Alligator mississippiensis: one gene and its partner. The protein of the gene in region 1 purifies or fractionates together with the protein of each later gene. This does not show direct contact. Links are inferred from orthologs where the notes say so. Each region holds a gene or a part of one and is shown on either strand. Other genes may lie near its edges.

Region 1 (7,878 bases):
GCTGGACATCAGGATGCCCCCTAAGGGACGGAGGTCCTGGAGGGTGACTCCCAGGGGAGGGGGTGGGAAGGGAGTGGGTCCATGTTACCTTGCGCTTGCTGCAGCCAGACTGAACGAGGATGGCGAAGTCCCCGACCTCATGGGGCACCTCGTGCAGCAGAACAGTGAGCGTGGTCACAGCCCCCACGCCGGTGCCCGCCAGAAAGGAGGCCCCGATGGCCAGCCCGTCTGTGAAGTTGTGTGCCAGGTCGGCTGCCAGGTTCAGGTAGCCTGACACCCGCATCGCTGCAGTGGGGGACAGGGGTGGGGGCCAGTGAGAGCGAAGGACTCCCTATCCTGTGCCTCCCCCCTCTAGCCCCGACCTAAATCCCAGCCCCCTTGCCCCCTCTCTCACTGGACTCCAGGGTCCCCGGCTCGCGCTCCTGGCCTCTCTTCCTCTGCACTGCCATGTCGGGGACACCACTCCGGCCGGCCTTCCTCTCCCGCAGCCCTTCGACCCGGGGCCCCTCATCCTCCTCTCCGGAGCTGCTCTTTGCCTTGGGGGCTATGGAGAGACAATGGGGCATGAGATCATGTACACAAGGTTACAGGGACCCCCGCACCACCCCCCGGCCCCATCCCCTCAGGAGCCCCCTCCCCCTCCTCAGGGATTATGTATGACCCCTCTGAGAGCTACCTGCTGGGGACAGGAGCTCCCCAGCCCTTGCTAGCAGGGAGATGAAGGCTCTGCCTCACAGGCTGCGATGGCGGGTCCTAATGAAATTCCCTGAGCCCCAGCAGGGACCAGGAATGTGGCTGGAGGGAGACTGTAGGGGCCCAGGAAGAAGAGGGGTGTTCCTAGACTGCACGTACCGTGGCTTTGCCCATTGTGGCTGTGCCCATGTCCGTGTCCCCCCTTCACGTGTCGCACAAATTTCTCCACCACCAGGAAGGCAACAATCCCGGCCAGCACCCAGATCCCCACTGACATCATCTGCTCATGCTCTGGCCCTGGGGGTGGCAGGACCAGCGCAGGGGGTCAGGGTGTGGCTGCAGCTTAGCCACCCTGTACCCAACATGCTCCCCCCTCCCCTGCTCACCCCCACCTTTACCTTGGTGGGAATGTCCGTGTCCAGGCACCTGTGGGTGGGAGTGGGTGTGGCTGCCCTCTGCGTGGTGGGAATGGGGCACTGGGGAGGGAAGAGGCCAGAGAGATCAGGGATGAAGGCAGGGGCACAGCCCCTGCCCCCTCCCAAGCCAGCCTGGGACTCACCCAGGGCGTGGGGGATGAGGTGCAGGAAGGCATCTCCCAGGAGCCCTCCTGAGGCAAAGCTGAGCAGCAGCTTGAGCAGGGCCTGGTGCTGGGACGTGTTGGACTCCACAGGAATGAGGAAGAGAATGAAGTAAGGGGCAGCGCTGATCAGCAGCGTGGCACCCACGGCCTGGAGAGTGAAAGAGAGGAGAGACGTAGTCAGGCAGCCACTGGAGCCCTGGTGTGCAGCTCATGACGCCTCCATCATGCTATGCAGGAACTTACATGGGTCCACAACTGGACTGGGTCCAGCCGCTCCTGTGGCAGCTGCTGGCTGGGGGAGTCCTCTGCAGGGTGCCTAGCATCAGCCTGCCCAGGGCCATGGAGACCCTCGTGGGCATGACCCAGGTGGATGTCAACGTGCAAGTGATCATGGCCATGGTGCAGGTCATTGTGCGAATGGCCATGGTGAGCATGGCTATGGCCATGGAAGTCCTCGTGCACGTGGCCATGGCCGTGGAAGTCCTCGTGCACGTGGCCATGGCCGTGGAAGTCCTCGTGCACGTGGCCATGGTCATGGAAGTCCTCGTGCACGTGGCTATGGTGAGCGTGGCTGTGCCCGTGGGAGAAGTCTTCATGCGAGTGGCCGTGGTCGGCGTGGCTGTGGCCATGGTCCGGGTGCTTGTGCGAGTGGCCATGGCCATGGTCCTCATGCGAGTGGCCGTGGGCAGCATGGCTGTGCCCGTGGTGCAAGCCCTCGTGCGAGTGGCCATGGAAGTCCTCATGCTGGGAGGCGGTCGGTATCAACACCACGCAGGCCACCATGACTGCGAGTGGGCTGCAGAGTCCTGTTCGGCTCCGCGCTAGGCGAGGGGCTGCCATTGTACTGCCGCTGCTGGGAAGAGGGAGGGGAAATATGCCCCTCGCTGTCAGGCCCATGCTGCCCCCTGCACGTCCCGAGGAGGGAGGGGGTCAGTGCAGGGCCACAGGCTGGGGACGAAGGGATGGGGAAAGATCTGAGGGGAGGTAGAGCAAGATCATAGGGGCAAGGGAGGGGGTCCAGACACCCCCAGCCCAGCTCCAGGGAGGCAAGGGAGACACAACCCTACAGACTCATGGGGGGGGGGGGGCGGGGCGGCAGGATGCAACATAGAGTAGGAAGGAGGGGCCTAGAGTGGTGCCTGCGGAGGCGTTCGCTGAGGGTCACGTGGTTCTGCGCGTCCCAGGGAAAGCGCCACCATGGACTGGGTCATAGAGACGGACGGGAGAGCAGCTAGAGCGTCGCTGGGGGCGCCCGTCTCCTCTTGCCCACGTCCTCACATCCGGCTGGCCCTTCCGGCCCTCGCCACCCAGAGGTTTCTATGGTCCCCGCACCCAGGGCCCTTCTAGCCTCGCGGTCCACGCGCCGCCCCTCGTCTCTGTGGCCACGGGGAAGGAGGCCATGAGCTGCCGCTCCGGCCAGCCTTCGCTCTGTCCCTATGGCCCACAGAAGGGCTCCGCGGCGCTCCTCCGGCGCCGGGCGGCCCCTCTAGCTCCCGCTTGTCTCTATGGGCCCGGCCGTCCACCGCCGCGTGCCCCTGTGGGGCGCCACCCGTGCCGCTCTACGCCCCGGGGGGACCTGGCCCCTCTGCCCCTGCCCGTCTTTGTGCCCTGGGGGTTGCTCACCGTGCCTGGGATCCGCTACCTCAGGCTCGCCCTTACGTGGCACTCAGGCTCCGCCCCGCAGCATCTCGCGGGACCAGCCCTCAGCGTCGGCCCCTCCGACGCGGAAGGCGCTGCCCCTCACAAACATGGCGGCCGCCACAGGCCCGGGAAGCACCCTGTCAAGGCGGGCTTGCCCCTCACAAAAATGGCGGCCGCGCATGACCTAATCTTGCCCTCACCGACATGGCAGCCCTGCAGTGTCCGGGAGCCATCTTTGTGAGGGGCAGGGGAAGGCCGGACTAGCGACCGCCATCTTTGTTGCGGGATGATGAAGTTTCTAACCCCCCTCCCAGCCCAAGAGCGGACAGTCTGGGACGTGCCCGCCCCGGTGACTCACAAGGGGTGTGCACAGGTGCGGGACACCGCGTCCCCACGGTCACGGGAGGACTGTTTGGAATGAACTGTCTCTATGGTGCAGGGGGAGCGGGCGTGGGAGCCTCGTCTCTATGGTGCGTGTGAAGGCGGTTTGGCGGGTCGCGCGCGGGGACCGAGCGGGACGCGCCGTCTCTATGGTGACAGCGAGGGACAGCGGGCCGCGGCGCGGTGCAGGCCGGGACGACGGCGGCCGTGCAGGCGCGCGCGGGGCATGCCGGGCCGGGCCGGGGCGGGCGGCGGCGCGGTGCAGTGTGGGAGTGCGGGTCCCGCGGCGGCGGAGCAGGCCGGAGCCCGGGGGTGCGCGGCCCGGAGCCCCCGGGCGGGGCGGGGCGGGATGGGAGACAGCGACCGCGGTGAGCGCGGGGCTGTTGCCATGGCGACGGGGGGGGGTCACGTGCGGCGGGCGTGGGCGCGAGGGCGGGGTGGGGCGGGGTCGCGGGGTCAGAGGTCACAGCCCCGTGACCCCTCCCCCAGACTGCCGCAGCCCGGACAGCTCGTCGCTCAGCTCGTCGCCGCCGCCCCCGCCGGAGCCCCCGGCCCCGCTGCCGCCCTCCATGATCGGTGCGGCCATGACCTCCGCCCTGGGCTCGCCCGGCGCCAGCCTCGGCTCCCCCTTCCCCGTCATCAGCTCCTCCATGGGCTCCCCCGGCCTGCCCGCCACGCCCGCCGTCGGCTACGGGCCCGTCAGCAGCCCGCAGGTAGGGCCGCGCCGCGCCGCGCCGCCATCACGCGGGTCACCCAGGGGTCGCGGGGGGGTCACGGGGTCACCCAGGGGTGGCCGGACCTCCAAGGGGGCAGGGGGGGGGGGTCGCGGGTCACCCAGGGGTGGCTGGGCCACCAAGGGGTCGCGGGGGAGGGGGGTGGTCTTGGTTGTAGTGAGGGTATGGAGGGGATTTCGGGTGGCCTGAGGGGGTCACCAGGGGGCATCGCAGGTGACCCGAGGGGGTCCTGGTGGCCCGAGGGGGCGCAAAGGCTTTGCGGGGAGTGGGCAGGGCAGGGGCTCCCCCCAGCCTTGGCGGGTGGGCAGGGGATTAGGGGCAGGTGCTCCCCCAGTGCAGCTGGGTGGGGGCGTGTGGCTCGCTCCCCGCACTGATCCCTTCTCCCCTCCCCATAAGCAACTGGTAGACGGGGCACGTTGGGGGGGGCTGAGATTGGCCGCTGCTGGCTTGTGCGGGTGGTCGCCGCTTACCGCGTGCACCTGCCTCGCTGTCGCCAGTGGTGTCTGGATGGGCCCCGCTCGCTGCTTGCCCCCCTCCCCCACTGACGCTGCCATTTACAAATGGTGGTGCCGCCCCCCCCCCCCCAGTCTCAGGAGGCACCAGTTGTTCATGCCTCTCTGCTCTTCCCGGCACAGATCAACTCCACGGTGAACCTGTCAGGGCTGCACTCGGTGAGCAGCTCAGATGACGTGAAGCCGCCGTTGGGCATGCGGGGGGTTCCCTGCCACCCCCACGGTGGCATGATGCCTGGGAAGCGCCTCTGCGCCATCTGTGGGGACAGGTCATCAGGTACAGGGGGTGCAGAGCAGGGCAAGACACCTGGGCCTTACCTTGGGCTCCTGTCTCCTGCTGGGTTACAGTGCTAGGGGGGAGCCTGGATCCCTGGGTTCCTACCTGCTCTGGGGCGCAGCAGGGTCTGGTGGGTTAAAGCAGGGAGAGGCTGCCAGCTTGGATGTCTGGTTCTCCTGTCTCATCTCTGTCACTTAGGGGGATCTGGTGAGTTAAAGTGGGTGAGGGCTGACAGCTAGGATGCCTGGGTTTTGCTCTTCCACCTCTGGGGAGCAGTGGGGTTTGGGGCCGTGAAGAGCCCAGGCACTTGGGTTCTGTCCCAGCTTTGGGGAGAGGGGAGCAGGGGTCTGGGAGCCAGGATGCCTGGGTTTGATCACAGCTCTGAGGAGTGGTGCAGTCTTGGTGGTTGGCCAGACACCAGAAACCTGGGTTCTTCCCTAGCTCTGCTGCATCTGGTGGGTTGTAGGAAGGTGGCACCGGGCCCCAAATGCTGAGTGCTGAATCCCAGGTGCTGAGTTTTCACGCTTGGAGGTCAGGCCCTGGACACCAGGGTCCTTGCTGAGCCCCGCATCTTCTATGCAGGTAAGCACTATGGCGTGTACAGCTGTGAGGGCTGCAAGGGTTTCTTCAAACGGACGATCCGCAAGGACCTGACCTATACGTGCCGGGACAACAAGGACTGCGTGGTGGACAAGCGCCAGCGCAACCGCTGCCAGTACTGCCGCTACCAGAAGTGCTTGGCCACCGGCATGAAGCGCGAAGGTACCTGCCTGGGTACGGGGCTAGGGTCTGGGGCTGGAGCTAGCACTGCTGGGCTACTAGTATGAGGTATGAAGGGTAAAGGTATTATTCTGAGAGCAGGGTTAGCACGTAGGGAGCAGGAAGCATGTGCTACCTTGATTGGGGGTAGGGCTAGAGCCTGGGGGTGGGGCTTGCACTGTGGGACCACTAGCTTGAAGTATGAAGGTACTTGTCTTGGGGCAGGGCTATGGGCTAGGGGGTGTGGCTAGCACTGCCAGACTACTGGCAGGAAGGGTGAAGTCATTTCACCTGTGGTTAAGGCTAGGAGTGCTAGGGGTGTAGCCAACCCTGCTGGGATGGGGCCAGGGCTGATGGGAGCAGAGCAAATGTGCTGGGTGGGTGGGTGGGGCTAGGTCCCAGGGGGTGGGGCCAATGTGCTCCTCCCAGGAGGGCCTGGCTGCTGGAAGAAGGAAGATTCCCATACCCTGGGGCGGGGCTGGGGGCAAAGGGGCAGGGTTAGTGCTGCCAGAGGGGGATGGACCATGGGGTTTGGAGGGCTGTGGCTGACCTGGAGACCGCCCCCCACCCCCCAGCGGTGCAGGAGGAGCGGCAGCGGGGCAAGGAGAAGGAGGGGGACAATGAGCTGGGGGCCAGCGCCAACGAGGAAATGCCAGTGGAGAAGATCCTGGACGCTGAGCTGGCTGTGGAGCAGAAGTCGGACCAAAGCGTGGACGGGTCGGCCAGTGGCGGCAGCTCGGTCAGCAGGGGGAAGGGGCGGGTGAGGAGGGGAGAGGAGGTGTCCTGTGGGGACTGGGAAAGAGTCCTGGGGGGAGAAGAAGGCTGCAGCTCCGTGCTGGGGACGTGGGGGGAGCACGGTGGGGATCCCAGCAGCACCAGCCTCTGATTTTCCCCCCTACCCCGCTCCCCATCCCGATCCTGCAGCCCAATGACCCGGTAACCAACATCTGCCAAGCAGCCGACAAGCAGCTGTTCACGCTGGTGGAATGGGCCAAGCGCATCCCCCACTTCTCTGAGCTGCCCCTGGACGACCAGGTCATCCTGCTGCGGGCCGGTGAGTGTGGGGGGGTGGGGGGGAGGAGGAGGAGGAGTTAGACCTGCTGGCTTGGGGGAAGGGGCGGGGGGCAAGTATAGGGAGGTCAGGGGAGCCAGGATGTCTACCCCTGCCCTGCTGGTTTGGGCTCTGTTTTTTTACTGTGGGAGGGTCTGGAGATGGAAATGATGGAGGGTAGAGGGGGTTGGAGATTGCGGGGGGGCTGGCCCAGTAGTGACCAAGTTCCCCTGGCTTCTGGCAGGCTGGAACGAGCTGCTGATCGCGTCATTCTCGCACCGCTCCATCTCGGTGAAGGACGGCATCCTCCTGGCCACAGGGCTGCACGTGCATCGCAACAGTGCCCACAGCGCCGGTGTCGGTGCCATCTTTGACAGGTGGGGGGCGGGGGGGGCCGAGGGGGCTGGGGAGCCAGCACTGAGCTCCCCTCCCCTCCCCTCCCCCGGCTGGGGCAGGGTGGGGGTTCCAGCCCCCCAGCTGACGGGTTCCCCCCACCCTGTCTCCAGGGTGCTGACGGAGCTGGTGTCCAAAATGCGGGACATGCGCATGGACAAGACGGAGCTGGGCTGTCTGCGCGCCATCATCCTCTTCAACCCAGGTGCGTGGGCAGGGACCAGGCTCAGGCAGGAAAGCAGAGCTGAGCCCTGAGTTAGTGACTCAGAACCGGGGAGCGCCTGGGACCGGCATTGTCCCTGGCACTGCCATTGTCAGGGCTGCACTGTGGCTGCTGGGCGTAGCTGAGGGAGCTGGGGTTTCCTAGGCTGGGAGGCTCTGCCAGAGGGGATTTTCTTTCTCCGGCTGCTATAGGGGTCCAGCAGCGCTGGGTGGTGGCTACAGTTCAGACTGGGGCCAGTGACAGGACTGTCCCAATGCTGCTGGCGGTCACCCCCAAGGGGTCCTGCCTGGAGGGTATTGCACCTTAGCTCAGGGTCAACCTGATGCTGCCTTGGGGTCAGGAGGGAGCTTCCCCTTGCGTTGGGGAGGGGGGCAGAGGTGTTTCTTCCTTTCTGCAGCAGGGTCTGGACTCTGCTTGGCATCTCTGCCTGTGCCTTAACCTCAGGGCCTTGGGCTGAGGTTTGAGGATGCAGCCAGACCAGGACATCTGAGGGGTTGGGCTGGGGCTCGCACACTGCCTCAAGCAAGTGTTTGGTGAGCTGTGACCCCCAGAGCGCCTGGCTTGCTCTGCTTTGAGTCTAACCCAGGGAGACGTTCCCACACGCCCGTCTTCCATCCCAGCCCCTGTGACAGGC
Region 2 (7,970 bases), on another chromosome or scaffold:
GCTCCTTGGAGGCAGAGGGGGATGGAGAGAGGGGAAAATGGGCCTGGACCCAAAGCAGCAGGGCGGGAGCAGGGGGGGAATGGGGCTGGACGCAGGGCTCCATCCCCCCCACCCCACCCATGACAACAGGGACTGAAGAGCCAGAGCAGGTGGGTGAAGCCTGTGGTGCTGGGCTCATCCCCTCACTCTTGCACATGGGGCCAGATGCAGAGGGTGGGGGAGGGTGCATGGGGCCGGAGGCAGATGCAGCCTCACCGCCACATACAACAGCATCCTGTGTGGGGTGCTGGTGGCACAGCGCTGGCCTGGCCTCTCCCGCTCTGGCGCATGGGGCCGGATGCAGGGGTGGGGGTGGGACACACAGGGCCAGAGGCAGAGCGGCAGCACCGTGGGGCGCTGAGTGCCAGCACTCTGTTCCCGCCAGTCTGCCTCCTGCCCCTGCAGGTGATTCTTGATGGGCAATTGGCTAGTATATGTATAATAGTAATCTAAAAATGTCTGCAACATGTCTTTATAAAACTGACAGCCAAATTCCATCTTAAAATATTTTCTAATCTTCTACTGAATTTCATAGTTCTCCTAGTTTGCACATAATAGAGAGGAAAAAGCCAAGCACAGGCCTTCTCATACACTTTTGTTCTATTTTTTTGTACCAGACTTTTCCTTTACTTTACTTTTACTTGGATGGAGGTGAAAACAAATAGACTCAAATGATGATCTTCTCAGGTATTATCATTAATTTAATATTACTACTAAATAATTAGAACATGCAGGATTTGGAACTGTTGACTCAGAGCATACTGACTAATATATGTATATTTTCTTTTTGTAGGTAACATGAGAACCTGCACCTGTACATTCTGAGAGCTGGAATATGGATTGAAAGACTATCATCTGCAAACTGCTACTTCATTTCCCAGGACCCACGAAAACCATTCTGCAGGGATTAAAGTAAGAGCAGATAGATGTCTTCTGTATAATGCCCTCTAGATCTCCTAATATCAGAAAGTACACAGGCAGTTTTACTTAAACCAGCAGAAAGAACTGGAACATGCATTGTTTCAGAATTCCTCAGTGTCTTCCTGAGTTATCACTTTATTTCCTGATGAAAAGCCCCCTGCCCAGACGTTCTTGACACACACATAATGATCTGCAATGCAATTTCTCAGCTCTCACAATTCATCTACAAGATCTATCTTGAGAATTCAAAAAGAATTGCCCAATTTCGGTTTTCTCAAAGTAAAAGTCAAGTAAGTTCCATTAATTTTAATGGACAATTTAGCAGTCTCAAGGTCTTTACTGGCTCTTATGATCTGTCATCCTTTGGAGTTAAGACATATGAAAGGTAAAGTTCGTTTTCCACTGTAAGTGAGATGATTTCTACAATTTACAAAGGAAATGTAGGAATATAACCCCAAGTAATCTCTTTCAGAAATTCTGTGCATCAGAATGATTGCAGAATGTCACCATTTGTGTTTTTTCCTCCTCCTTTTCCTTTTCCAGTTCCCAAATAATAAATGAGTATTAGTTACAAGCTTATAAACTTGGCTGACTTTATATACTGGCTCTCAGACTTACCTGAAATCATATGGATTGCAGCTTTAAAACAATAGTATCTGAACTGGACAATGAATGTGTTTCAATAATATATTGAAAAATCCCATAATTTATATCTCACTCATTAATTTGTTATTGTTTACTAGCCCTATATGCTATAGACATCTGTTGGATGTTAAAAAGTGGCATTACAATTTCAAATCTGTTCATCTGGGGGAAAAGCAAACAAATCATCTCAAATCCAAGACATTTCACTAACAGTACATTTAACTGTTTTTTTTTAACTTTCTTTAAAATTATTAAGCAAGTGCAACTTTTGTCATCTGAACTCCAGGAAAGCCAAGCATCTTGTAGGCCAGTAATTTGGGAAAGCTCCTAAAGCTCTTCACCCCTGGATTGTCTGTGCATCAACACCTAAAACTACTTTTAAGCACTCAATGGGCAGCTCAAAGTGATGCTACTCTAGGTCAGGACTAGCTCTGATTCATGTAACCCAGCTCATGTTACACTAAAGTGCTGTGCTGGCTCCTCTTCCCTGCTGACCTGCTGCCCCCCACACTTCTCAGCAACCCAGAGCCCTTCTCACTGTTCTCACTGCTCCTCGCCCTTCCCCATTTACCTGTGGCTGCCTGGTTAACTCTTCCCTGCCTGCTCCCTTGGGACAGATGGCCATGAAGGGCTGACTGCCAGTCCGCAGGAGGGCTGGCTGCTGGACTGGAAGTGACTGCATACCAGCAAACTGCGGACTAGTAGCCAACCCTTTTTTACATTTGGCTGCCTGCCCGCAGTATGCCAGTCACTACTGGTCCACAGTTTGCTAGTCCACAGTCACTTCCAGTCCATGGTTTGCCAGTCCTCAGCATAAAAAGGTTGGGAACCAGTGCTTCAGACTAACTCGGCTGACTACCCCACCCAGGGGTGGATCCAAGGGGGCTGCACTTGCACCTCCCTTTGATTCGACTCAAAGTTTAAAACCAGCTGCTTTGCAGTGACAGCATTTCTGTCAGGCGGTACTGAGGGAGTCAACTAACTTTCTGGCTCGTTGTCACATACTGGATCCTTTCTAAACTCTCTGCTCCCTAGGTATTAACAACCCCTCTCTTCTGTTTTAATGGTGTGGATGTTCCACCACTGAAGCTGGCCTCTGTTCTGCACCTCTGCTGTCTGTTGACTACTCCTGGCATGAATGACCGGTGCCTCCCAAGAGGGCTGACTGGGGGGATGACTGGAGGGCCAGCATTTGTAGGTGTTGGGAGTGAGCAGCAAGTGGGGACTACCCACAGATGCCGTTGGCAGTAGCAGGGGGGAGAGGGGTGGCGAGCAGGGACCACCTGCAATCGCTGCCAGCGGCAGCGAGGGGGGGGTAGTGAGTGGTGAGTGACCACCTGCAGATTCTTGCTGCTGGGGGGGGGGGGGGAGGGCGGGGCGCGAGTGGTGAGCACTCGCAGAAGCCGGCAGCGCCATCGACCAATCTCAGTGTGAATCTTCAGTCTTAAAGAGAAGCACACAGCCCTGGGCCCCTGGCATATTGACAAAGCTACTAGTTTGTCTTTACCTGGAGACGCCAGTCAGATGGATTGCACATTGTCTGAGGGGTTGTACTCAGAAAGTGGTGGTGGATGGGTCATTTTGAACCTGGAGGGAAGCGGGCAGTGGGGTTCCCCAGGGCTCGGTCCTCGGGCCCGCACTGTTCAATTTCTTTATTAGTGACTTGGACAATGAGGTGAAGAGCAGCCTGTTTAAATTCACAGATGACACCAAGATTTGGGGTGAGGTGGGAAGGGAAGAACAGATTATAGCAGGACCTGGACAGGTTACAGGGGTGGGCAAATGAAAGTAGGATGGGATTCAATACTGACAAGTGCAGGGTGCTGCACTTGGGCAGTAGGAACCAGCAGCATACCTATAGGCTGGGGAATTCCCTTCTCGAAAGCATGGTGGCAGAAAGAGATCTTGGGGTCATTATTGACTCCAAGATGAACACGGGCCGATAATGCGAGAACATGGTCAGTAGGGCTAACCGTACTTTGTCGTGCATCCACAGATGCACCACAAGCAGGGCCAAGGTGATCCTCCCCCTCTACGCGATGCTGATCAGCATTGAGAGGGTCCAAAGGAGGGCCACCCGCATGATCCGGGGACAGCAGGGCAGACCCTACGAGGAGGGGCTACAGGACTTTAACCTGTTCAGCCTCCACAAGAGAAGGCTGAGGGGGGACTTGGTGGCCATCTATAAACTTACTAGTGTAGACCAACAGGGTTTGGAAGAGACCTTGTTCCCCCTGAGCACCTCCCAGAGTAACAAGGAATAACGGCCATAAGTTGCTAGAGAGTAGGTTTAGACTAGAACTCAGGAGGCACTATTTCACTGCCAGGGCAGCTAGGATCTGGAATCAACTTCCAAGGGAAGTGGTGCTGGCTCCTACCCCGGGGGTCTTTAAGAGGAGGCTCGATGTTTACCAGGCTGGGGTCATTTGAGCCCAGCTTTCTCTCCTGCCCAGGGCAGGGGGTTGGACTAGATCTACAAGGTCCCTTCCGACCCTATATCTATGAATCTATAAGGCTGCAGGTTTGATCATGAGACACAAGACCCCCCCTGCCTTGGGCTGGGGGTTGGACTAGATCAGTGATTCTCAACCTATGGGTCGCAAAAATATATGAAAGTGTTGTGAACAAACCTTTCAAAAATGGATCAAGGGGAAAAAAGTGGGAAGCTGTGGCCTTTCCCTTGCAGGCTGGCAGAGTTGCAGCCTGCGAGGAGCTACTTGGGGCCCCCCATCCTGCCCCGCACACTGGGAGGCTGGGGGTGGGGGGCACTGGGTCAGGACTGGCCATCAACATTTACAAATGGGTTCTGGTACAAAAAAAGTTTGAGAAGTGCTGGACTCGATGGCTTCTTTAAGTTCCTTTTAAGCCTACTCCTCTGCTTTGTAAACCCATGGGTTGCTTTACCGGCCATGATGCACTCCGCTTCCGTGCAACCCCAGGTCCGCCCCGACCCGGGACAAAGGGCTTGAGGCTGTGGAGCTGAGAGGGGGAGCACTGACTGCAGCCTCGTGCTTAGGACACTAGAGAAGTAGAAAGAGGCTGATCTGTCTCCAAGGTCCTGCCACAAGGCAGGTCTGACCCTGGGATTGAACCCAGACCCCGCCCACCAACCGCCTGCCCCAGGCCGCGGGCACCAGATGGTGGAAGCCACCAAGCTCCCAGCGGAGCGGCTTTAAGCCTGTGACTCAAGCACAAGGGACCGCCCCGGCGCCTCAGCCGCGCATGCGCAGACCCCCTCCCCCGCAGGGGCTGGGAGCTCAGCGCCTCGGTCACGTGATGGCAACAGCCGGGCCGGCGGGAGCGTCCGTGGCAGCGCCCTCAGCGCGGGCTTCCGGTTCCGGCGCCGCAGCAGGGCCCGGCCGCGCTTAGGCCGCGGGGCGCGGGGAGGCGGCGGCCGGGCCGGCGCCATGGGGCCGGCGCTGCGCTGGCTGCTGGCCGGGCTGGTTCTGGGCGCACTGGGCGCGGAGCCCCGGGCCGAGCAGCAGCAGCCCCGCTCGCCGTCCCTCACCGCCGCCCCCGGCGGGGCCACGCCGAGCGGCGGCAGTAGCAGCAGCAGCGGTAGCGGCCTGCCTGCCGTGTCGGCGCCGGCCCCGCAGACCCCGCCCATGACCCAGCGCGCCCTGTCCGTGCTCGTGCTGGCCAGCGCCGCCCTCATTGTCTACTTCGTCATCCGGACCGTGCGGTGAGCGCCGCGCCGCGCCGTGCCGTGCTAGGCACCCCCACTTCCCACCCCCTTTTCCCATGGGGTTGCTGCTCGCGCCCTCCCCCGCGGCCCGCGGGCCACAGCCCAGCACCTGTGCTCGGGGCCGGTGTCCGCTCAGCTTCCAGCCCCACCAGGTTGCGACGATGGGGCCCTGGGCAGAAAGGCTGGCGAAGTGTCCCGTCTAAGCTGCTGTTGGACACTGTGGCCTGTGCAAAATGGGAGGCTTGGTAGGGCTTCTGAATTAGAGCTTCCTGCACCTTAAGGGCGCCTCTGCACAAGCAGAACTGAGGCTGTAGCGACAGCGCCTTAGAGCAGGCTCGATTAATCGCCTCAGTCACACGATGGCCAATTCATTGAGTCTGCTGGAGCATGGTAATTACCGCGACGCAGGAAGCTCCTGCATCACGTGTATCAGCGTCCCTGCGCTGGAAAATGTCAGCAGGGGTGCTTCAACTAAAGCTCGTTTAAGTTCCCCTGCTGCCATTTTTTATCGCAGGAATACTGGTGCGCGTGACGCTCGGGGCACTTTAATTAGAGCACTGTAATTAAAGCGCCCCACCCCTCCACTCCCAGAGCACAAGTATAAATGCGTAAGTACTGGAGGCTGCAAGTGAAAGGGGAACAGTTGAAGGAAAAAATCCTGGTTGTAGCCAGTTCGTTCTTCCTGTCTGCTGCTGTGTGACGCAGGCCTGTTTGACACATAGGGTTAATTCAGGCTTGATGCCCATGGCGTAATAGTTATACTCCATCATGGACGATTGGTGCCTTCTGAGTCAGGGAGGACGCTTGCTCTCCAGTGGCTAGTCAGCAACCAGAAGTGCCAGCAGCGCTTCTCCTGGCAGCCCTACTCCCCGGCTGGTGCTCTCAGGGAGGGCACAAGTGCTCCCACCTGCCCCCCCACCTGTCACCTAAGGGAATGCTGGCTGTCAGGGGCCCCCCGCTGGCTGTCAAGGGGTGCACCAGCGCTCTCAGGAGGTGCACATGCACCCCTTTGCACCCCCTGCGCATCGTCATTGGCTTCTGCCCTGTTATAGTTTCATAGTAGGTAGGGTCAGAAGGGACCCAAGTAGATCATCAAGTCCAACCCCCTGCCACGGGCAGGAAAGAATGCTGGGGTCAAACGAGCCCGGCTAGGTGATTATCCAGCCTCCTTTTGAAGACCCCCAGGGTAGGATATTGGGGCAGGGAGAACTATTGGTTATACATCAGTTGATTTGGGAGGAGAACTAAAGAGAAAACAGGAGCAGGAGTGAGGTCATAGGTTGAAAACAAGTGCCCCAAGGGGGGACACCAAGCAGAGTATGCTGGGCTGAGTGGCATAAGCCTGTTTGACACACAGGGCCTTTAGCCCACAGAGAAAGTTAGTTCCCCATGTTAATAGAGGGAGTTATTGGATATGTGTCAGCTAAACTCATGGGACAAATAAAAGACAAAAGAGGAGCAGCAGTGAAGTTTTATAGGATAAAAATCAGTGCGTCAAGGGGGGATGCCAAGCAGAGCACACCAGACTGAGAGAGAGAGAGAGGCCCGTTTGCCACTTTGAGGGATTGTGGGCCAGTGCCCATGTAAAACTAAAAGCCTTCCTCAGAAAGGGAGGCTACCAGGCAAGTAGCAACTGATTTATGGGGACAAATGATAACAAAACAGGGACAGGAGTGAGGGTCAAAGGTGTATAACTAGTATACTGAAGAGGGGCACTGAGTAGAGCACACTGGGCTGAGTGACAGAGGCAACTGGGCAAGACAGGTCTATGGTTTGACCCAGTAAATGAACAGTTGTGTTCAGCCCAGAGGTCCTTGTTTGGCAGTTGTAATGTTAGTATAACAAACATTTCATGTCACTCTGATCCCCCAAAGGCTAACACTAGGTTTTGAGTATGTTTGCAGTGCTGCTGAAAGAATTCCCTTGCTAGCTTGTTTTTAGTATAGCACCATGATTTCGCTGACTCTTTTACCAGGACTGCTTTTTTCCCCACTATATCAAACATTTGCATTTAAGTTTTAATACTTTTCGTTGTTATTTCTAAAGCTTTTCATGGATTAATCCTCCCCTTCTTTAAGCCAGTGAGTCTACTCATTGTTGCACAGCTGTCAATTTTTCTTTTTTCTTATTTTTCTTTGTGCTTTCCCCCACATTACTACAAAAGCTCCTCCCTTTAAAATCACCACTATATTATCCTCCTTTTAATTTCTGCATAGAAGTCAGTCATTGTTTGCCTGCAAAATGCTGAATGGTACATAGGTAGCTGTAGTAGAGAGATTGCTACTGGGTACACTAGCCATAACTATCTCTGAACTTCTTTTGCTTTTCCACTTCTTTCTATTGCCCTGTTTCTTCCTTTGTTCTGTAACCTGTTCAGGTTAGAGCCCTTTTTTGTGTGTATGCTTGAAGTATCTGGTAAACTGAGGTTTCTAGAAACTATTCTACAAATAATGATTTGTAGGGGAAAAAACAGCATCTCCCAAACTTCAGGCAGACACCAGAGATGCAAGCCAGAGAGGTCTGAGAACTCACACTCTGGAATTTCTTTCCCTTTTTCTTTTCTTGATTTATATTTTGCCTCTCCCCAAAAAATGGTCAGAACAGCTTACAACAGAAGGGGAAAAAAAACCCTTATAAGACAGGTAAAATATTAAGATTATATAAGGTACATAACAAAAAC

Evidence for each region.
Region 2: the proteins of SLC39A7 (region 1) and FAM174A purify together in Homo sapiens (co-immunoprecipitation; 3 studies listed by BioGRID and IntAct, with this or other methods). This does not show direct contact. The link is inferred for Alligator mississippiensis from reciprocal best matches to the Homo sapiens genes SLC39A7 and FAM174A.

The regions. Positions count from the first base shown.
Region 1 is NC_081834.1:64,752,324-64,760,201, reverse strand, and holds the start of SLC39A7 (zinc transporter SLC39A7), read right to left. Parts: upstream 3,006-7,878; 5' UTR 2,897-3,005; intron 2,127-2,896; 5' UTR 2,114-2,126; coding exon 1,517-2,113; intron 1,422-1,516; coding exon 1,253-1,421; intron 1,170-1,252; coding exon 1,092-1,169; intron 991-1,091; coding exon 853-990; intron 545-852; coding exon 395-544; intron 286-394; coding exon 89-285; intron 1-88. Other genes in the region: RXRB (retinoic acid receptor RXR-beta), read left to right, coding at 3,345-3,384, 3,785-4,008, 4,665-4,818, 5,401-5,580, 6,153-6,316, 6,502-6,631, 6,873-7,005, 7,135-7,226. UniProt on the Homo sapiens protein: Transports Zn(2+) from the endoplasmic reticulum (ER)/Golgi apparatus to the cytosol, playing an essential role in the regulation of cytosolic zinc levels.
Region 2 is NC_081826.1:235,736,945-235,744,914, reverse strand, and holds the start of FAM174A (membrane protein FAM174A), read left to right. Parts: upstream 1-4,960; 5' UTR 4,961-5,012; coding exon 5,013-5,287; intron 5,288-7,970.